Linked DNA regions of Oreochromis niloticus. The protein of the gene in region 1 purifies or fractionates together with the protein of each later gene. This does not show direct contact. Links are inferred from orthologs where the notes say so. Each region holds a gene or a part of one and is shown in the gene's direction. Other genes may lie near its edges.

What was found.
Region 2: the proteins of junbb (region 1) and atf3 purify together in Homo sapiens (affinity purification with mass spectrometry; 3 studies listed by BioGRID and IntAct, counting the BioPlex papers as one, with this or other methods). This does not show direct contact. The link is inferred for Oreochromis niloticus from reciprocal best matches to the Homo sapiens genes JUNB and ATF3.

Annotation. Positions count from the first base shown.
Region 1 is NC_031969.2:8,275,204-8,286,285, forward strand, and holds junbb (junB proto-oncogene, AP-1 transcription factor subunit b), read left to right. Parts: upstream 1-5,790; 5' UTR 5,791-6,145; coding exon 6,146-7,135; 3' UTR 7,136-7,658; downstream 7,659-11,082. UniProt on the Homo sapiens protein: Transcription factor involved in regulating gene activity following the primary growth factor response. Binds to the DNA sequence 5'-TGA[GC]TCA-3'.
Region 2 is NC_031980.2:22,557,832-22,569,938, reverse strand, and holds atf3 (cyclic AMP-dependent transcription factor ATF-3), read left to right. Parts: upstream 1-7,477; 5' UTR 7,478-7,635; intron 7,636-8,881; 5' UTR 8,882-8,882; coding exon 8,883-9,140; intron 9,141-9,264; coding exon 9,265-9,372; intron 9,373-9,543; coding exon 9,544-9,846; 3' UTR 9,847-11,503; downstream 11,504-12,107.

The DNA of each region.
Region 1 (11,082 bases):
TAGTGGCTCTTGAAAAGGTTGAAGATGAACCATTAATAGATCAAAACAGGCCATTTGGGGTTGACAGAGTGAAGAGGAGGAAAACATCATCGGGCCATCATGTGATGTTGATGATGATGCAAATGATGATGATGATGGATCACTCTATTAATAGACCTGGCAGTGAAGTGACCATAGTCACAACAGATTAGAGCATCGCCTTGGATGAGAGGCCCCATTATGTCCAGAGGAAGGAGTCAGCTGCTTTGTCAAGAGGGCACCTCACAAACAAACCTCATTTGACTGAGCCCGTCTTTCTCTTTCCCCTTGCCCTTCCACTCTCGCGCTAACCCCGACTCTTTTTCTGCTGAGTGGGTGTTTTTGCGAAGTTTTGAAGGTCAGAGAAAGACTCTAAAGTGTGGAGCGAGCTTGGGGCTTTGACCTCTGATTGCCACCACCCCCCCTCCCCTGCTGCCCTAGCTTCTGTGAGTCACATAGACGGAGCCATCTCGCCCAACCAAAAGGACAACACGTTGTGGAGAAGCAGACGGCAAGTAGGCTGGCAGCCCGGCTCTGACAAAAGGAGAGTTGTGCAGAGGTGGCGAGGGACAATGGGACAGTTTGAGAGGAGGAGGTGAGGAGAGCTCAGTCCTCACAATAAGTAGGCTTATTGTGAAAGCCTGCTCTGTTGAAGGACAGAGTTTATAGGGTGAAGAAATTACAGGGATTATCCAAGGTAAGAATTGATGATGCTATGTGTCTGTGCACTAATAATGCAAAAATATATCTAGAAATCTGCATAGATACACATCTACTGAATAAAATATTTCAAATGCAAAAATGACTTTGAATCAAAATCACAAATCTGAACATTTTCACTGCGAACACTTTAGTCTTTGTTATATCCTCCCTTCTTGCAGATGTTCACATTGTGGTTAAAAAAACACCACACACTCATACTCCACCCCGAGTGATATACGTGCTTGTTCACACACACACACACACACACACATACTTAAGACACATACACTTTTCTTATTCTTACCGTAAACAGCTTCCTCCCACCCTCAGGCTTTGCCTTTCCCAAACTCACCCAGGATCCCGAGCAGGTAACACTCAGTTGGTTTTGGCAGTCATCCATGTGATCCTGACTGTTTAAACTGAGTCTGTTGCCAAGCAGCTCGTCCTGCCCTGGAACTCTTTGAAAGTTTGCCCAAAAATATGCATAAAAAAAATATGAACACTAAATCTTAGGGCTGGTTTCGGGTATTAGTAGAACTCCTGTACAAAAAAAAAGCAGAACTTGAAGGTATTTCTATACTAGAGTACACACACAATCTTAACAGACTAAACAGAGATGTGACTAATCAAGATGTGACTAAGATGTCGGACACGTTTTTTTAAAAACGATTTTTATTGTTTTTGCAAAAGATGAAACCGGTTCCCTTCAACTAATCACCACGTCATCACTTAGAGCTAAATCGACCCAAATTTCGCAGCTCTTCTGTTTATAATTGAAGGTGGTGATTAATAGAGATTGTTCTGAGCAGAAGCAAAATCACATATTAGACACGCCGTACATCTGTCGCAACATTCACACGTTTGTCTCTCCCACTGCTTAGCAAACATTAGTGCTTTTGACTAACATTTGGCAAGATGGCACGGTGCCACCTCACGAGTGTTCCCGTAAACACTCACCGCTCTGGACCCTGTGCTGTTGTTCTGTGCCAAAATGTCACTGGAAGTGTGGTCAACCTCAAACCCCAGTGCTGAATAAAACCTAAACCCAAGCAAGAGCAGAGCATCAGAAACAGGCAGCTGCACAGAGGACAGAATTTATAAGGGAGGTGGCAAAGTGGAGGCAAGACACTGCCAGGAATTGTTGTTTTCCTCTGTTTAGCCATATTCCCATGGATACTCACAAAAAGGCATAGAGTTAAAATAGTTGTTCTGAATACCAGCAAATTACCTGAGATGAGGTAATTACAATCAGGCATGGAGAACCTAAAAGTGGTGATTTCAGTTAACTTTCCCAGTCATGTCAAGAATATAGCAAACGGCTGTCAACGGTAAACGTTCTCCTTTCTGTGACAGGTTTAAAAGCTCTCTCCGCTTTAGGCCTAAACACCACTGACAATGAGTTTTTAAAAGGCAAATACATAGTATTACAGGGTGGTGGCTGTCACTATTCATACCCAAAGGGAAAACCTGTTGAAAGCTTGATTCAGCCCCCCTCCCCCTGCTCTGGCACAGGTCGGAAATACACTGAGAGGTGGATTCTGCGGATGAGAAAGTCACAGATTAAATAATCAAAGGTGTGGCTGTGCTTGTTTTGAAATATACAAATATGACTGTACTCTTGTGTAATTCTTGTGCTGGGTTTTGTTTTTGTTATACAGCACAGCCTCAACCACCAAGGTGTAAACTTATACTTTTCCAGGCATGCTCGTGGGAAAGTTGGGCTAATTAACTCTGTTTTAACTAACAGATGGAAAACTGAGAGCGGGGGTTAGCTTGCCGTCCCCTCACAGCAATTAGGTCCTGGGTTTGAATCCACCATCTGGCTGGGGCCCTGGGAGTTTGGATGTTCTGTCTCCAGGTGCTTCCACTCACAGTCCAAAAAAAAGCATGGGGTTAGGTTAACTGGTGATTCAAAATGGGCTGTAGGTGTGAAAGTGAGTGCGAATGGTTGTCTATGTCTTTGTTTTGGCCCTGTGACAGATTTGGGACCTCTCCAGGTGGACCCTACCTCTCTCCCTTTAACAGCTGGAGTAGGCTCCAGCCTCCCTGTGACCCTGAAGCGGATAAGCGGAAGCAAATGAATGGAGGGAAAAGTGATAAGAGTAAGAGTAAGCAAATGGTTGATAATAGCAATAATAAAGGTTTGTGTTAATGTGAGGCATAAACTGTTCTATATAGATACAAATCTATACATTTATTAAATAACAATAAATAGAAACAGCTATCTTACTACGATGGATAAATGGGTGAAACATCCACCTTTTCCAGATTGTAGTCACAGATCACTGATTTTAGACCGCCTGTTAAAGTCTCAGCTTAAAGCTGAGTGTGTCCACACAGGAAGTGACTAGCAGCTAACTGGAAACCTGAGACCACAGAAAGTCAATGACATTCGGTCACTTCAAGTGAAAAAAAAAACGGTTGAAAAAAACCCTTGTGACGCACAGTGGGTGCGTCCCAAGATAAACATTTCTCAAATTCAACGTGAGCTGCTAAAGCTAGCTCACTTGGTTAGCAAACTGCTGATATGAACAATTAAAATGCTATTATTTTTCTTACCAAAACCTTGCACGGTCCTTACCTTACAGAAGGCAATATTATTTATCAGACAGTTCCATTAAAACTCCTTTAAAATGACACGAACAGCGAACACAAGAAAGCTGTTAGCTAAAGCTGCACATGCTAGCAGCTGTCACAACTTTCATAATGCAAATGGATGCGTTATGAAAAAACTTAACAGTACAGATGTTATTTATGTGGAAAGTCTCCATAAAGACCAGTGACCTTTGTTATACCACGATGGTTTTTAATGTTGTAAGTTGGTATTTTAACATGGAGGTTTATGGAGATTGGCTCACTTTTAGAAAGCGCCTCAAGTGGCCATTAAAGGAACTGCATTTCTGCACTGTCATTCTTTCTGAGCCCTTGAGGTTGCTGCCTGGTAGATGTAAAAATGCAAAAAAAATAAGTGTGTTGTGGTTGTATGTCTCTTTTAACAAGTCAAGTTTCAGTTTAAATTCAGGTCTGTCCAAGCACATAGAAACAGTAACATATTCAAAGGAATTTGACACTTTTGGCACCAAACTTCACATCCACGTCTGAATATCTGACCAAATCTGAAATGTAGTTGCAGTCTCCCTTTCTGTTCCTGAATCAGGAAACTGAAAGATTCCAGATTATGATCTCACACTGAGGCTGACCTCTGACCTTTTAGAAATTAATGTCAGAATTGCATCCCATCAGACATTTGTGTGCCATTTAATATTTCGCCTTAGAATTCTTGAGTTTTGGCTAAGACTGTGTTTTTGCGACATTGCCTAATTCAAATCAGGTGAACCTTGAGTCCAAATGGATGTTTGTGCCAAGTTTGAAGAAACTTCCTCGAAGCACTTCAGGAGACAAGTTCGCGAGAATGGGTGGAACAAGTCTACAGATTTAGCAATAATCTGGAAGCATAACACCTGCAGTCATGGTTGCTGTCACTGCAAAGGCATAAAAATCACTGTAACAATACCTGCCTTTATTAATTGTTAAGTAATATCTATTTTATAATCCTTTTAATGGGAACACATCTGGAGCATGGTGGGTGGTGTGAATATTTGATAGGGTTATAGGCGGTTTGTCACACTGATCATCTGCACATGTTAATGAAGATTCGAGAGCCAGTTTTTGTTATATGCTTCTGTTATTGTAATATACATTCTGCCACGGCCTTGTCTTCAGTACACAAGACCAGAGATTCATCCCTCAGGAACAGCCAGAGGATTTTGCAAAGCATCCTACCTGACTTGATTTGTGTGTAGAGGGATGTGGGATACAGTAGTGAAGGCAGTGGTGCTTGATTGTGTGGGCGTTGGAAGAAGTACAAACAGGAGACAAAGGTTTCCTTCTCCGCTACTGAGACAGGTGCTCTATTGAGGAATCATATTTCTTTTCTCTCAACGCTACGATCCTACCGAGCAAATCACAGTAACTCTACATGTAAATCTAAACAAAAGAAAGAAAAAAAGGGTGTTTTTGTTTGGTTTTTTTTTTAATGGCCTTCTGACATCAAAAGGGTAAAACACTATTTGTGAATCTTGCCCGGTGTAATCCCCCCTCTTTGGCTGTGTTGGACAGAATTTCCTCAGTTTCCTCTATTTCATGATCAAAGCTGTTTACTTCAGGCGACATGGCCAACATCAGCATCCTATCAGATTACTACAGGAGGAAGTGTTTGCTCTGTGGCTGATCACAGTTTTCTGCTCCGCTGATGTGTGTCACTGCTGTGTGCTTTCAGGCGTCACTTAGAAGTGGAGCAGTCAAGTCATTTGAATATATCATGTCAATACCTGTGAACCCCCCCGAAAAAATATATGAATATTAACACAAGTTAGGATGTGTATTTTCATGTTTTAAGATGGTTCATATAAAATAATGAATGTTATTTTTCTAGAAGAACTGAACTTATTGTCTGAGGCAGAAAGTCCCTAACTTGCCTAGCCACATGGATTTAGACAGGAGCAGGAATGCTGCTGGAATGAGGCCTGGAGTGGGCCTGGCTTCCCGGTTGTCCAGAAGAGGAACTTATACGTCAGTGTGCCCATATAAGGAGTCTCGACTTCCTCCATGGGACCGATTGCAGTAAACAGCTGATGTTTGTTGTATATTTCATACCCAATGGATCCAACAACAGATTGCGCGTGAACTAATGGGCATCCCATGAAGCTATAATGACATAAAATGAACCCAAACCGGCGCATTTAACGCAGTTTTAAGACACATTAAAGAACCTACAAATGAATTAGAAAAGCAGCGATTTGCTCTAACGGAATAATCTCACCTCCTCGCTTACCCAACAACCATTTATTCAGCCCATAAACGCGCAAAGTCGTGCATAAATACGTCGGACTTTTCTATTTCTGACATTGGTCTCCGCTGCGAGCCCTCCTCGGAGCGCTCTCTTGCCTACAGGCTTGTTTACAGTCGCCTCTTCCCGGCATTAGCGTCACTTGACGACGCACTCGATGGGCGCGGAGACACACACTCTGTCCAATGACAGCGAAGCACCCTATATAAAACGGCGCACATGAACCCGCCTGAACACACCTCAGCAAGCACCAAGACAAACACAGCGGCAAATAGGAATTGCGAGAAAGAAGTTTTTGTTTCACAGGATTTTGAAGGAAAAAACCACAGCAAACAGGCTCCGGGAAAGACTTTTGAAATCCGCTGATACTGAACTCTTGCTGGACTTTCACTAGTTTGTTTCCTTTGCTCTTCATCCTCGAGTGATTTTCATTTTTTGAAATTTGGAAACACTGTTTAAGAGAGACTACAAGTGCCCGATTTGATGCATGCTCTCTGCTGACACTGACTTTTGTTGATTACCCAGAGACTGTGTTTCTGTAAGCGGCCGGTAAGCTCACTTTTTTCCTACGACTTTATGTCTACAAAGATGGAACAGCCTTTTTATCATGACGACTCTTTTCTGTCGGCTTACGGCCACTCAGACGCGGCAATGCACGACTGCAAACTGCTAAAGCAGAATATGAATTTGAACTTGACAGAGCCCTATCGCAACCTGAAATCCCAGCTGAGGGCCGAGACAGACCTGTACCAAGGGGGCCAGCAAGACGTGGGGTCCCTGAAGCTCGCATCCCCAGAGCTCGAGAAGCTCATCATCCAAAACAGTAACGGTGTGATCACCACTCCCACCCCGGGCCAGTACTTCTACAACCGGGGCATCACCGATGAGCAGGAGGGCTTCGCTGAGGGTTTTGTGAAAGCACTGGACGAGCTCCACAAGATGAACCAGATGCCCCCCCCTAACGTGTCCATCGGAGCCGGTGGAGTTACGACGTGTTCGCCGGCGGCCTCTAGCGTCTTCGGCTCCGCCTTGCAGCCCGAGCCCCCCATCTACACAACACTGAACGCCTACTGCCCGAACACGAACCTATCTTCCTCATCCAGCTACCCCACAGCCACCATCAGCTACCTGCCGCCGCACCAGCAGAGCCACCACCAGCAGAGCTCGACGCACGGCGCGCACGCTTTCCAGCACACCCTCCCCGTCTCCGGACTCCATCCGCAGCGGCTGGTCGCTCTGAAAGAGGAGCCTCAGACCGTGCCCGACCTGCTCAGCAGTGACGGCTCGCCTCCGATGTCCCCGATTGACCTGGAGACCCAGGAGAGGATCAAGGCGGAGCGCAAGAGGCTGAGGAACCGACTAGCCGCTACCAAATGCCGGAGGCGCAAGCTCGAGCGCATCGCCCGGCTGGAGGAGAAGGTGAAAGTTTTGAAGAACGACAACGCGGGGCTCTCCAACACGGCGTCGGTCCTCCGGGATCAGGTAGCTCAGCTCAAACAGAAGGTCCTGACACACGTGAGCAGCGGCTGCCAGCTGATGCTCACAAGCAAGCTGGAGGCGTTTTAAAAATACCAGAGACTACTAAGAAGAAAAAAAAAAATGACTGAAAAGTGATAACACTGGAGTCATGTTCTGCATGCGCAGCACTGGAATTACCGGCTCGTGTGTAGTCAGCATCACAGGGCCGAGGGCTAGGTGTGGACGATACTGAAGGCTATTTTAGGGTGAAAAGACTGATTGTAATGGTACTTCCGGATGCTGGACACCCCTCACAGGACCATTCAACCCTAGAATCCAGGGCAGCATCCAGACTGAGCAGACACTGAGCAACACAGTGGGCGCACATGCCCATAAGTCGGGTTTACTAATGGTAGAAAATGGGAACGATAATTTGTTTTACTTTGTACCATCTTCCTTTTCCCCCTTTGTTTAGTTTTTTGTTTGTTGGCTGCATTTATTCATTGTGTAAATTATTTCATGTGTCCGGTTGATCCAGACAAACTGATGATGTCCAATGTTTACAGTGTCTCTTTTTTTTTAAAATTGTGTTGTATATTTAAGTAAAGTGTCTCAAAAATGAAAAATGAAATGGTGGAGTTGAGCGTTTTTGTTTTCACACATCTACACATAATTTAGAATAACAATAACAACAACAACAACAGCACCGGGAAAGAGTGGGAAGAGCAAACGAGGTTTTCTTTCCTACCATACTGTAACCATAACAGTTACTATAGCTCCCAGTGAGGAACTCTTACACAAGCACATTCTGGTTGCGGTGTTTTTACGCACAGAGCGTAGCTTGCGTATGTAGGCCTTTCCTAATTACGCAGGGGCTATCCATATATGGGCATACTGGTGACTACTTCGTCACAGGGGAGGATTTCTGGGAACCCCCGCCCAGGTAACGCAAACAGGTTCCTCCTCACTCCCTCTATATACTGTATCGATAAGATTTGCGAACTTCATGAGGGTGGCGGAATTTCCTTTTGGTTATTGTGCAATTGTAAAATAAAGTGTTTAAACGGGAAGAGAGCAAAGTGCGATCCTCTTATCTCTTATCAGCTAAACAAGCTAAACAAGAGCTTGGCGTGATAACAGGAAGCAGTAATAAAACGGCTGTGATCGTGGTGCTTTTTAATATTGTTATTTTTTTAATATAATAAATGAAGATTCTTAAACTCGTACGCTAGCCACCTATTGGTGGCGCTCGAGCCTCAAAGTTGTTGCAGCATTTTTTAGGTGTCAGTGTAATTGAAAGATCGCACACGACGGGAAGTGACAGTGACTTAGTACCTTCAGGAATGCCGGGGGCGTCTCAAGATGCCACGCCGGTTGGCAGAGCAGTAGGCGAGAGTGGGCGTACGGAACGCGCAGGAGCATCTGTGTGGATGGATGGGGCTGTGCGCGCTGCCAAGGACAACATTCTGGTGGGACGCATCAGCGGCCAAATATGTGCGGCAGCAGGATCTCAGAAGATGGAGAGAGAGCGAGAGTGGGGAAAAGTCCCGCGTTAAGAGGATGTGAATGAATCATTAAACATTTTAAGCTTTTCAAATGCCACTGGTTTAAAAAAAATATATATATGTGTGTGTGTGTGTGTGCTATAAGGTGGTGGGTTGAATGTTGCGTAGGGAACTATCTTCAGCTTCCACGGAAACCAGGTCTTGAAAAACTTTCCTGACCATGTGACTACTGGCCGAGAGAGCAGCTGTGTACGAAGTGGTCTCAGGAAAACCGAAGGGGGATTTCTGTCCTGTGAACACACTCGGTGACGTACAAATAATCAAGACAGTTGGGCGTAAAAACGCGATTTCTCTCTCTCAGTACTCACGAAAGCCACTTCAAAAGAGTCTAGGAGGTAAGGTTGCGGTTTTGTGCGCGCACTCTCACCTCAAGCTGTTTTGGAGAGGTAGCCCGTATTCTCTTTTAACTTGACACGTATTTGAATACTTAATTTCCATCAATAACAACTCCACTTGTTTTTTGCCGTTTGGACGTGGAAACAGAACCGGGCTCGCCCACACAAGTTCTCCTTTTTCTGTGACTTTTTGTTGTTGTAATTATTATTATCAAGAAACCTATATTCAAGGGGATGTACACTGAGATCAGTACCTGTTTCCTATATTTCAGCAGTTTTGTGTGCAGTTATATATGTACAGTTATATATAAATTGTGAGCAGTGAAACAGACCATGTAACATCACACCGCTTTCATGACTTTTATACAGCTCCAACTCTCAGAATGAGTACTTTTAAATATCACTCCAGCGCTTAAGTCTCCATTTACGCAGTAGGCAGGCCTACATATTACAATGCAGGCACACACAGTCCAAAAAAAGAAGAAAGACAAAAAAAAAAAAAAAAAAGTCAATTTCAAGCCATACTGGCTCTCCACACGCCTCGGCCCACAACCCACACTGAGTGTCTGTGGGAACATCTGTGATGTGAACGGTGACGTACGAAGAGCCCTGGGTGGGTTTGATTTTCCTCTCCACGAGCCCCCTTCCCCTCCCACAGACACTCGCAGGCCTGGCTTTCTCTCTCTCGCTCTCACTCATTCTCTCCCTCTCTCCGATCTTCTGTTGTCTTCTCGAGAACCATGAATATTCCTCCCACCTTTCGGTGGCCATCTGAGGATCCCTCAGAAGTTGCGTGGCTTGTTTTGGATGGGTAATGAGAGCGGATTTAGGAAAAGTTTGTGGCTGTCATGAAAAAGCACTCGGATTGTCCACATAGTGTTTATTACAGCTTTGTAAAGTATGTGCTTACACCTGGAAATGACACAGAACTGACATAGTCTATGATATAGTCTATACATTCATCTCTTAAAATAACAACCCCCCCCCCCCCCCCCCCCCCCAAAAAAAACGTGATTAATTATTTGTGTCATGTGTGCTGCCATTAACAGGACGGTATCAGGGCCTCACAGAGGAGGCCCTCTGTGTTACATAAGACAGAGCTGTGAAGGTTGTAGCTACATATACGGGGAACGTTTAAACAGCTTTGTCTGGAATGTGCTCACGTTCTGATATACTGTATGATGGCGCGTTAACGCTACAGCAGAAAGGTGGCTCTGTCGTGACGCTTCTGAAGGTTTTGTAGGCGCACATCGCCATCTACTGGAATTACAACGGAAAAGCTTTCGAAAGCAACACCGTCCTTCGTGGTCTTTCCCTGGACAATGAAATTCCTTCTTAACAGTGGTGTGGCCATTATTTTACCCTTAAACCTTAAACCATAAAGCATGGTTTCAGAATCAAATAAAATGAGGTTTATTGTATTGAAAAGGATGCTGGTTCCCTAAAATGTAACTGTGTAGACAGAGCAAGGTGCCCACAATGTAGCAAGAGTACAAAAAGAAAAATATACAATCTGAGGTACAGAATTCAGTAATCTACACATTTTATATCAATGCAAAGAGTATTATCCATCTCATCTGTTCATGAGTTCTTGAGCTTTTTTTTAAATTAGATTTTTGTCACATTTACATGCGTCAGATCATCAAAGTAATTTTAATATCACAAATACAATCTGAGTAAATACAAATTGCTGTTTTTAAATGATGGTTTTAAAAGAAAAGAGTAGAGTCAGAGTTAGCCAAACCTTCCTGACTATGTGTGAAAAAGAAATTGCCTCCTAAACGTATTAACTGCAAGAACTGCAGGAAGCATTTGCGATATGTAGGAATGAGTCTTTCACATCGCCGTAGAGGAATTTTGCTCTACTCTTCTTTACAGAATTGTTTTAATTCAGCCTAATTGGAGTATTTTTGTGCATGAACAGCCTGTTTAAGGTCATGTCAATCATGTCTGATTTAAGTCCCAACTTTGATCACTTCTTTCAGAGGTGGACTGCGGGTGTGTTTTGGATCATTTTCCTGCTGCGTAACCCAAGTGCGCTTGAGTTTTGGATATTCTCCTCCAGGATTTTTTGGTAGAGAGCAGAATTCATGGTTCCATCAATTACAGTAACTCGCAGATCCTGAAGCAAACAGCCTCCAGACTATCACACTAC
Region 2 (12,107 bases), on another chromosome or scaffold:
TGTTCAATCCAAGTATTGATTTTCTGTGGAAAACATCTTGAAGAGTTTTTCTTAAACTGCAGCATTGTCTGGTGAATGCAGAGGAAAAAAACAAAGAATTTATAAATGAGTATCACCACATGGATATATAGATGGTGCTGAATATGAGGCGTGTCCATGAGTTTTCTGGCTGAGCTAAAATTACACATGTAAGGGTCGAGATAGGATCTGAAGAAGATCTCATTCTTCATACAGTTCAGATTAGAGCCAGAACTATTGTTTTATGATCTGTTCTCCATGTCTATTAAAATTATACTAATAACAAGGCAAGGAAAAGCAAAAATCCAGACCATGAGACCAAAAAACAAACAAAACAAGGAAGAAAATAAATAAATAAAATGGGGTAAATAAAAAATCTAAAATGAAAATAAAAACACACAAACAAAACAAGCCTATATAAGAAAAATGTATGTCATCAAGCATGTAAAGCTTTTTATTTGAATTGAGTTTTCCCAAGCTTAAGTGGTTTATTCCCTTTTTCTATTCCTTTTTTCTATTACAGTAACTGTGAGAACCGTTAACAGTCAGTTACTTTTCTGTTTGCTAACCGCCTTTGAGTTTCAATAGCCATAAATCACATTTTCAGCCACAAGTTTCTTGTGACACGTGCACTCATGTTTGTAAAATATAGAGCCACTGAACATGCGGGACATTGTCTCGGTACGTGGTGTGCTGTCACACAGCAGCAAAAGCAAATCCAGCCTGTAAAGCTCTAAAAGGAACCCCCTTTTGAATCATCATCAGGTCTGCAGTGAGTTTTTACTGCTATTTACCTTGATTCCAGTGCAGTGGATCTGATCCCTTTCTTTGTAACCTTTGCTTACATTTTGATTAAGTTAATCCAACATGCAGCCCTTTGTTTACTTTGTCTATGCAGGCATTGCCCCAGTTCTACTCACTGCCCTACAACCCCAGTTAAGGATCTGAGGCTGTTAGCCAGCTCACGTGGAGGTCAGTATTTCTGTCATGTAGCTTGAATGCAGACGCTGACACGCTTTAACACTAAATCTTAAAACCAATTCCAAAACGTACAGGGTGCCAATGGAGAAGAGCCAGGATGGTGGCAATGTGACAGCATGTGTTAAAACCATTAAGAAGCTGCTGCTGATGCATTTAGAACTGGCTGGAGGCAAGAAAGTGACTTTTTTAATAAGACACGGTTGCAGTAGGGAAGCTTTTACTGAACAGAAGCATGAATGAGGTGTGAGTTAATATGCAGTCTGAACCACAAATTGCAGAGAGTTTACTGTTTAACTGAGGGTTTAAAAAGTAGGCTTTGCTTCTCTAGACTGCTGCACATGGGTTTACGAATTCTTCTATGGTTTTCACTTTCTCTTCCACTGAGAGCAAACTCTCACAATGAGAAACTCACTCTTATTCACATTCCTTTCTGTCATAGTGAAACCCATCCTCTGTCTTGTTTTCTTTATCAGCCGACATCAGGAACTGTCTTGGAGATTAAGTAGGAGTCCAGGATGTGAACTGTAAGCAGGATAGAAGGTGAAAGTGAGAGTTTTGTGGCGAAATCCTGCGGTGCCCTTATTTACAACTTGTAAGAAGAACTGGGGTTTTTTTTTTTAGGTTAAACTGAATAGAAACAAAATGATTTATTATCACAAGGGAAAGTTATGGTTAACTGGCCAAAGACCCACTTACATATTATACGTCACCCTATGTTCTTTCACAGATTCATGTATTTATTTCCATGTGTTTTTGTGTCTGTTTACACCAGATTTATTTAGAAATCAGCTAAAATTTACTGTTTATCTTTTTATTTAGCTTTTTTAAGTCCGCCTGTTTGCCATTATTAGATTTTATATTTTAAAAGGTATGAATTTTTTGAAGTTTGACATTAAGAAAGTCGATCTGATAAACTGTATTTTCCTTTTTAAAAGCTGCCCAAAGAGCCTGCTCCTCCATACTGTATGTGGATATGAGCACACGTAGCTCTTTGGCATGAAACAGTTGAAACATAAAAATAGAGAATGCAATATTTAGCTGAGGAGGGTTAGCAGTCCGATCATATGGTATTAATAAGCGACAGTGTCAGCAATGACTTCATGTCGCAGCATCAATCTGGATGACCACACTGACCTCATAAACTTTTCAACACCCGTCTGGCTGCTCGCAGAGAAAGACAGAGGAGTGGAAGTGCGAGCGTGAGCATTTGTGCCATTCAGCTCGAGCATTTTGATGATTGTCTGGCGTCCTAAAAATAAAAACTACAACTCCAAGCGTGTCAGCTTTTAATTAGATGCAGTGTAACATGGATGTATTTTGAGGCGAGGTCAAGCATGCGCCACAGTAAATCTGTGAGGTGATAATCAGCACAGGTAGCATTTCTAAAAGGGGGACTCACAGTCGGCACTGTTAACTAATCACACGGTTTAAAATCAGAGCTGGAAACAAACGACACTGAACTTCATATGTTGAGTATTCTCTGGCAGATTCAAGACTCAGACAAGTTGATAGAAATTCAACTAAACTAGATGTGAAAATAGCTCAACTAAAAAATATTTTAGTAAAAAAACAACAAGTTAACCCAAAAAAGTCAAAAATACAGAGTAACTGTCTTTAGTTTTTCACATTTTTAAATAAAAATATGGAGAGCAGTTTGAAAAATAACCTATAACATCTCTATTTGTGAAAATTGTATATATATATATATATATATATATACATATATATATATATATATATATATATGAATGACTGTGATGTTCTGCTCTTACGTTAGTTGTCTGGACTGGTGACCTTTTAAAGGAAGTTGTCAGCTGTAAAAGATCAAATATGTTTCTTTGGAAAACCCTCTGATGCATTTATGTTGGAAACACCTCCCTCCTCCCGAGCACCTTTCCAACGTCAGGCTGAGGAAGGGGAGTGCTGTAACTTTCCAGAACAGCGTGCACACAGCGTGCACACCCGGGCCTGAAGTTCTCCATCTGGGGCTCTGAGCTATGAGACATCACATACGATAGGACATAAACATATTTTGAAAGGTGGATAACCAGAGCTGGTGGGAGTTTGCAAAAGGTGTTGCAAAATCCGAGGCCGCACATTCCACTGAATTTATTCACTTTGACAGCAACAAACTCAAAATGTGCGAAAACACTTTTCTGGGTTTTTTTTTGCTTTTGTCAAGATAAAAGAAGAAAATCATCTTTATTAATAGGTTTTGTTGGTTGGCATCTGTGCTTTTTATTATAAGATTTGCTGTGAATTAAGAATAAAAATATATAAAATTGAAAATTTCCAAGTGAAATGAAATCATCACTACAAGCTTAATGTTTTAAAACCATCTAAACAGTATTAATATAACCAGTTAAACGGAAAAAACTAAACTGAAACAAGCATACCTACTCTATGAGTTAACTGAAACTACACTGAATGAAAGCATACATTGAGTCTCTGCATGACTCACTGTTATAAATGTAAGTGATGGTTAATTCAGACCATGTGACTCTTTATGAGGTTCAGTACTGGACGTCATATCATTTCCTTTGGCTAAATTCAGACGAAACTTGCCACCGGGTCGTAGGTCACGCTGAACAGATTCTGCCACCTGCTGCTTCTCGGCCTGAAAATTTCAAGCTGGTTGCAAAATATCTTGAAATCTGATTTAATTAAAACCTAAATTTTGAGCACCACATTGTGAGACTAATGCAGTCATGCTTTTACCATCTTAGAAATTAAAAAAAGATGTAATTTAAGATTTAAAGATGTGCTTTCACATGTGCCAGCTGTAAAAGATTAAATTAAATATGCCTGGAATGGAAATCCATATGCCTCTGATTTGTCTGGAACAACTTATGTTTTCTTTCTTTGAGTGAGTGAGTATTCTTCTTTGGAAGAGCTTTTTAGGATCCTAAGTTTGCTTTGGAAACCCCCTCCCCTATCCTTTGTGATATCTGTTTGGGCGGGAGTTCTGAGTCTGAGCATTTTTCCAACTTTCCAAACAGCAGTCACTCTGCATTTATGTTTTCCAACTGGACCAAAACTAAAAGCACAAAATCAAGCCATGTGACTGTGAGTTAGCACATACCTTACATGTCACATGCACAGGAAACATAGGCAACGCATTGAAGAATTCAAGGGCATAAGTCAATGAAGTCACTTTCATTTAGTCTGAGGCCGACAAAAAGCGTCTGTGGTATGTTTTTATTTATGAGAATATTTATGCTGGGTTAAATTAAACTAAAATAATTTTTTATTAGAATTTGTTTTTAAACTATTTCATGGTTTCAGATTTACAGCTTGGGGAAAGAGCAGATCTTTTCTTTCAGTTCCTGGCAAAGAGAAATATTTCCCTTGTTCAACTCGGCCTTCAAACTCACCGTCTAAAAATGGAGAAAACACCTCAGCAGGTCACCACTACATAACCTTCTTTGTGAGTGAGTGTTTTTTCAGAGGTTTACATAAGGCCAGAAGTTTAGCAGTGGAAACTCATTTGTTTGATTATTAACCATTTTATGGCTTTTACAAATGGGTGGGATTCACCATGACAGCATAGTGACATGAATTTCTATATCAGTCATGGCAGTCATCGTTCGTGTGGCAAGTCATGTCTCCTTGGCTTCATTTCAGGTAAAGTTATGAAAAGATGAGATGCAAACATGATGACCACTCGATTTTGACATTTCATAATTTCATGAAATAGTGAAGCAATATTGTTTCTGAGAAAGTCTCGAATTGGCAAAACTGAAAGTCAGATTTGCTGGTACATTCAGAGAAACTGGGAGTTTCAAAATTACAAAACTGAGAGGGAATTATACTGAAAATGGCAGGAAATGAGAAAAAGAAGGAAAAGATAGCAAGACTACAAGGAAATCGCAGGGAAAGAACCTTTTCTTCAGTGTGAAATCACTCAAACAAATAAAAAAAACCTATGACACTTACAAGTTAAGCACATAAACTGTAGTAGAGGTCACCAAGATGCCCAAAAGCTTGCATCTTCTAATCAGAATTAAAACATCCGCATGAATCAGGTCACTTAACATCTAGTAGAGGCAGGATTTTACAAAACTGCAGAGCTGTTGTTGCATGGTTCGTGTTAGATAACGGTCTATCAGGAAATTATTGCATCATGTACGCATTCCGGAAAAAGTTGAGCTGAGTTTGTTTTCTGCTTTGACAGGATATGTAGGCATCATAACAGACACACACAAAAAAAATAAGGTTGTTCTGTTTTCTGACAGAAATATTTGAGACGAAACAATCTGTTTCTTTTCTTTTCTTTTCTTTTTTGGAATGATTCTGAGTTGCTTGTAAATTGAAAATAATAAAAGCTGCAAACAGGATGACGTCGGCTTGCTCTGCTTGTCTTTGCTAGATATGTGCTTTGAAGCCATGCTGCTTTCTGCTTTATGGCTGCACATTAAAACAGCCCCACATAAACAGCTGCACCTGATGTGGGTCAGCCCATATGGAAAAAAATAAAATAAAATAAACATGCGTTTCATAAACCATCCTCTTTTGCAGTTTTTGACAATTCAGTAAGCATAAAATAAACATTATGTTACAGTAGCAGAGTTTTCTAGATAAGGTAAAACCCTTTAAAATGTATTTTCCTTTAATCTGACTGCTAGGACAAGGACATTACTGCCAGTGCTGAAGTCGCAGGTGTAATTTTGACACTATTATCGGGTAATAAATTAATCAATAATACATAAAAAGTGGTGTGAAAGACTGCTAATAATGCCGATTACTATGTCTGAATATTATTAACAGATGCTTACTAGTTGCATGTGTCCACAGCTGCCACAACTTACAATTTAAATTTAGATGTTAAATAGTGAAAATTCGCACATATTTTTGTATTCTGAAGCCAAAAACCAACATTCTCACAGTTAGGAAATCTGTGTCAGCAGTCGAGTAAACAAGATCATCTGATTACGACTAATCAAGAAAATCCCTGCATGTTGATTACATTTACTGTCAGTCTACAAATCTGTGACACACACACATGTAAAAACACACGTAGTTCAGAAATGAAACCATGCAGAAAGTTTTCTTTACCTGTCCTCACAGGTACATATCATCATATCATCAGACAGGAAAAGGAAAATATTTCATTATAATCCTTCCATCCATCCATGCAAAGATCCATATCTGTCTGCATGTCTGTCTAACCTCTTTTATACCCCAGCTGGTGAGTGTGGTGTAACCGCACAATAAATAACCGTCCGGTGTCACTCAGCCTGAACGGCCTTATTCACTCGTTAGTGTGGAATGCCTGGAATGGAAATCCATGTCAGTGTCAAAACTGAGAGAGATGACAGAGAGGGAAGGGAAGCGTGTGAAGAGGTGCTGCTTATGGAAACAATAATGGAGGGGAAAGAGGAATAATAAGATGGGGCTGCTTAGTACAAGACGGGACAAGTGTATGGGAGTGAAAAAAGTGGAGGAAAGAGAGACAAGAGAAATAAGATAAAAGAAGCAGAAGAACGAGGGCAAAAGACTTCGGATGAATAGAAGAAGGAAAGATGTAAAAGTACTATGATGAAGGAATATAAAAACATGGATAATTAAGAAAAAAGTATCAAAGTAAATACTGGGAAAAAGTGAGCAGAAAGAAACTGGAAATATAATGATGGAGGAGTGAAAAAGGAAAAGACGTGAAGGTGTTTAGTAGAAAACAGGAGACAAAGTGAAAAGGGAATAAAAGAAACTGCATTTTTAAAAAGAAAAAGATCAAACAGGTTAAACTGGTTATCTGTAAATACCATCAACCTACCAGGTGTCGCAGAGAAAAATTAGCCCGTATTTCTAAATTTGGTCATTTTACGAGACAATAACAGAGAAAAAGATTCAAGTGATTAGTGGAAATGTGTGTGCAGGAGGTACAGCAAAGGGTGGAGAAGAGACAACTGGAAATAGGATGAAAGAGATTAGATGGGAGGGAAGATAAGAGAAAAACATGTTGTGAAAGTGGCAAAGAATAGAGGGATTTTGGGACGTAAATCATGGAAAATTTTTAAAAAGGCCAAAGCTGATGGGTGGGGATTAAAAAAGGAGGGAGATAGAAACTATACCAAAAAAGGAGGATTAGAGATGATGAATGAACTGTTGAAAAAAGAGACAAATATCAAAACATGAAAAACAAAAAAGGAAAAAAGATTAAAAGACTGGGAAAGGAATAAAGCGTTGGTGGGAAGAGGGTAGGAAGCAGAGAGAGGAGGAGGAGGAGAATGAGGAAAGAGAGCTGAAAATGTGAGGAACGAGAGGCAGAGGAGGAAAAAACATGAGGAGGAGGAGGGAGGGGGACGCCTGTCCTGTTATGGCAGAGAAGAACACTCGGCGTTGCTAGATTGCATCATCGCCGGATCAGCCTTCTAAAAATAGGATGACGTCACCCCTCCCTACTCTCAGGCTCCCAACCCTAGCGCTCTCTCTCTCGCTCTCTAGTAGCGTTGCGTCATGTGTCCCGCCCCTTCAACCAAGTTAAAAGCGCGAGGTGACGCAACGTAAAGGCCACAAGAGCAACCGTAGCCAACGAGCAGGAAGCGGACACAGAAAGAGCGAAACGCAAAGACATAAGAGAAGGTTTCTTTCTTCACGGCGCACTTCATCCGATCCGGACACTCACAGCTTTAACAGGTAGGCTGGAGATCTGTTTCCGGTGGAAGAGGACTGGGGTGTTTGAGCGTGTGTGTGAGGGGCAGAGAGGCGGTGTTGTCGCTCTTTGATCCCGGTGAGAAGCGCAGAGAGCCGGTGTCTCCGTGCGCTCCGTCCCGGGACACTGCGAAAACTTCCGCGCGTGTTTTTGCGTGAAAATATAAAATATATAAACAAGCGCATCTTTTTGGAGCAGTTTGCACTAACGATTTTTCTTTTCTTTTTTTTCATTTTATTTTAGCGTATTTTGTATTTATAAAAAACTTTTGAGATGTTTTTGTTTCAAATCTGACATCATGCGACGTTTTACTTGAATTCTGCTTGAATGCATGTAGTTATACTTTTTTGTAACTTATTTATAATCAGGTATTTCGGATTTTTGCACTGGTTTCCTCGCTTTTGACGAGACTTTTAATATCGTTGTTTCTTCTTTTTTTCTTCTTTTCTTTTGAGCTAACTCTATAATAACAAAACCAAAACAAACACATGAATAGCCAAAATTCTCTTTTATAATTACCTGAACACATAATAACGAAACTGAAGGGAACAGAGGGAGGCGGTGGTAAAATATTTGTAGAGCTAACAAGACTTTTTAAAACTTTTTTTTTAATTCTAAGAAGGTGCAGCTGTGTGCAGACTAATACGAACCATTATCATTAATGACTTCGTTGCAAATGATTTATTACTGGAGAACATAAGAATATAATATAAATGTGCTTGTTTTGGTTTTGGTCTCAGAGCTGATGTAAACACTTCTTATCTGGCTGATGGCCATAATTCAACTCTTGTCACTTCTCTGTTTAGATAACAAACATCCACACCTCCCCAATTAATGAGCCTTTTTTACAGCATGTTTTCCACAAAGCAAATGTTTGCTTAGTTTTGAATGACACAGCCATTTGTCTTGTCATCACAATCTGTTTGTCCTCCTTAACATGCCATGTTGACCTTCCAACAAACCGATCTTAGCTTTGGTTTTCCTCCTGACATCTGTGTCTTTATTACTCAGCAAAAATCTGAAAATTCCTTTATTATTTTTGCCACATATTCAGATACTTTCTTGTGTTTGAGCCAGACAGTATAAATATGACTCCTTTATTTATCTTGTGACTTTCAGCATTGGTTTCATAGTGACTTTTTGTCCTAAGGACATTTTAGCTCTGGGCTCTTTTAAATTATATTAAGTGTTTCTGACCCACCTGACGATCTTCATCTCTTGCTTTTCCAGAATGATGCTTCAGCACTCGGGTCCTTCTCTGGCTGACATCAGCTGCTCCGCCTTGGTTCCCTGCCTCTCCCCTCCAGGCACACTCACCCTGGACGACTTCACCAACTTCACACCCATTGTGAAAGAGGAGCTCCGGCTGGCAATCCAGAGCAAGCGGTTGTCCAACGGGCTTAGCACCGACATGAGTTCTGATGGTGCCAGCTCCAGCTCGGATCGAGCCTCCGAGCTAACTTCATGCAGGAACGGAGTCAAGCGAGAGGTAAGGCAGAGGGGGAATTACAGCATGTAGTTATCTGTATTTTTGGATATGTTTTCTGTAATGTGTCTGTTTTTATATAGAGTTTTTTTTTCTTAATGGTTTATATTTCTCACTGGTTTTTTAGTTGACATCTGAGGAGCATGAAAGGAGGAAAAGGAGGAGGGAGAGAAACAAAATCGCTGCTGCCAAGTGCCGCAACAAGAAGAAGGAAAAGACTGAATCACTCCAGAAGGTAGTTTTCCACTTTCATCAATATGAGCATAGGTTATTCTGCACCTACTCTTAGCTTTTTGCACCCTCACAGTTAGACAATTTATAAAGCTCAACATTCCCAGCTTGCAGTGAGAAGTAGCTTATGTTTCTCGGGTGAATAACAGTCTCCTTCTTCCATCCTTCTCCACAGGAGTCTGAGAAGCTCGAGAGCATCAATGCCGACTTAAAAGCTCAGATTGAGGAGCTGAAGCAGCAGAAGCAGCAGCTGGTCTACATGCTCAATCTGCACCGGCCGACGTGCATCGTCCGAGCCCAGAACCCCCAGACCCCCGAGGACGAGCGAAACCTTTTCATCCAGCACATCAAGGAGAGCACCTTACAACTCCACGACCTCACCTCCACCACCACCTCATCCGCATCCACGTCCACAGCAGCGCCTCTCGGCGGAGGACTTCTGACTCTCGATCACGTCCAGTGCCCCAGTCACTTATGATCTCCCAGAGTGTTATCTAGGGCTTGCAATTCTTCCATCTCCTGCTGCTGATGTAGGACTGACTGGTTTCGCAGGAGGTGGAGTTGCCACATACAGACTTATGACCTGAGAATGAAACACCACCTGTGACTCCTCACACTCACCTGCCGCCCATAATGCTGCTAGAGAAAGAGAGAGTGGTGTAAAGCGACCTCAGCACCTTCCACTCCCTGAACCCGTAGCTGCTGATTGGACAGGAGTGAGAAATGATGGACAGCACTTTGACTTGCATTATGTTTCGTTTTTTTAAACATTTTAAACAGTCAGGGCCAAGAACAGATGCTAAAGCACTTAAACAAAATTCAACAGCTTTTCTTGATTTATTAGTATTTTAAATAGTCGATGGTCTGATTTTTGTACCAAAGCGCGATTTCAAGGTGATCAAGGCACATTATTTAAGAGTTCACCCCGAGAGAAAGGAGATTCAGTGTGAGTGTGTACAGATGCAAGTCACTGACTTTAAAAAGAAGCGGTCTCTGTTTAGTGTACAGCAAAGATTACATATTTATTAAATGACTACTGTATGTTAGGATGTTGCTGTTTTAACCCTGTTTGCTTGTCCTGTATACAAAGTGAATTACTAAAAACGCTGCTGCTACTAACCACTCAGGACCTAGGTATGCTGTAGACGTCAGTTTTGTTATACATAATACGAGATGACTCGTCCAAAAGCGTGAGTACGGGTCAGGTTCCTTGCTGTGAGTGTAGCAGACACAAAAGGGAAATGTACTTTGCAGGCAGGGTTTCTAATTCTGCACTTACTGAAAAAAGCCTAGTACAAAAGACAGTGTAATCACATGTATAGATAAGTGTTTTGTTTTGTTTTTCTTAAGAATTCAATATTTTCTGGCAATCACAGTTGCCCAATGGACACTTTATTTATCACTGTGTTCTCTCTTAAAGCAAAGGGGATTTTTTTTTAACCTGTTCTGTGACAATGAAGCTACACAAGTGTTATTTTACAGATGTGTTTTCTACCCAATGTCTTGTATAACGTATCAAATGCATATTAACTACGTGCTGCTGTATGTAAACACCAATGCCTCCTTTGGTCTCAACAGAGCAAAAACAAAAGTTATTTTTTTAAAAATGTATTTATTGAAAACATTTGGTCCAGATGTTGTGTTCATTAGATATCATTAGCTAGGTATCAGAAGCGCTGCATCAGTTTACTCTGAAGTTATGCAAGATTTGGTGACATGTTAGAATCTAAGTGTGTCGTGAACTTCCGCTATTTGAAAACCCATTGCCAAAATAGTTGTCGTTCACTTGCACACCCTTTTCTATTCTCTGACCTTTAAAGTTTAGAGTAAAAAAATGGCCCAAGGAAAAAAGCAGTTTATTGCGCAAACAGAAATTTGAGAAGCACGATGATTGCTGTTTGTCATTTTTTGGCAGTAAAATAAAGCCAAACATGAGATCAGAAGCCCTTTCTTCCTGAGCGACACCCTAACACTCTAACTTCTCCTTCAGTTACCCAATCGCTAATCAAACTGAAACTCTGATGTACAAACTGCCAAGCAAAGGATGAGTACATACCAGAAGGGGTTTCCTTTGACAGGACATTATGATAATGAATTTTGTAGACTGAAGTTGTATTCCTCTGTTAGAAGGTTTATATTGTTGTATGTGTTGTGCGAGAGTCACATTGTTAAAGGGACGCAGGCGTCTTTGTGGTCATAGTGCTTTTGTCACCTGTTGTCCCGATGCTAGTCATTACTAGATAGTCACTGAGCACTGAGTGCATGTATTCATATTGTGCCTATTTCTACTACTGAAGACTTTTTTTTTTCTCTATAGCTGTGTCATAGCAGAAATAAATAAAGGATGTCAGGTACAACTGCACTGCTACTATCACTGTGTAACTACTTCTCATCTCTGTTTTGATTTTGATACTTTGATAATTAAAGATGTGAACTGAAAATGAGACCTGTCAGATGCCTTTTTTTGGAAACGGACAGGTAAATGTGATTTGCACTGATGTGGAGATAATTATTATTTTTTTCACATCAGGAGTTTCTGGTAGAGAGCAGAATTCATGTTTCCATCATTACAGCAAGCCATTGGGGGGTCGTGAAACAGGACAGCAGTCCCAGACCGTCACCCTGACACCACCATGTTTGGCTGTCGTTTAATGAAATGCTGTGTTAGTTTCATACCAGACGTAACGGGACTCAAACCTTCCACAAAGTTCAGCTTTTGCCTCATCACAGTCCACGGAA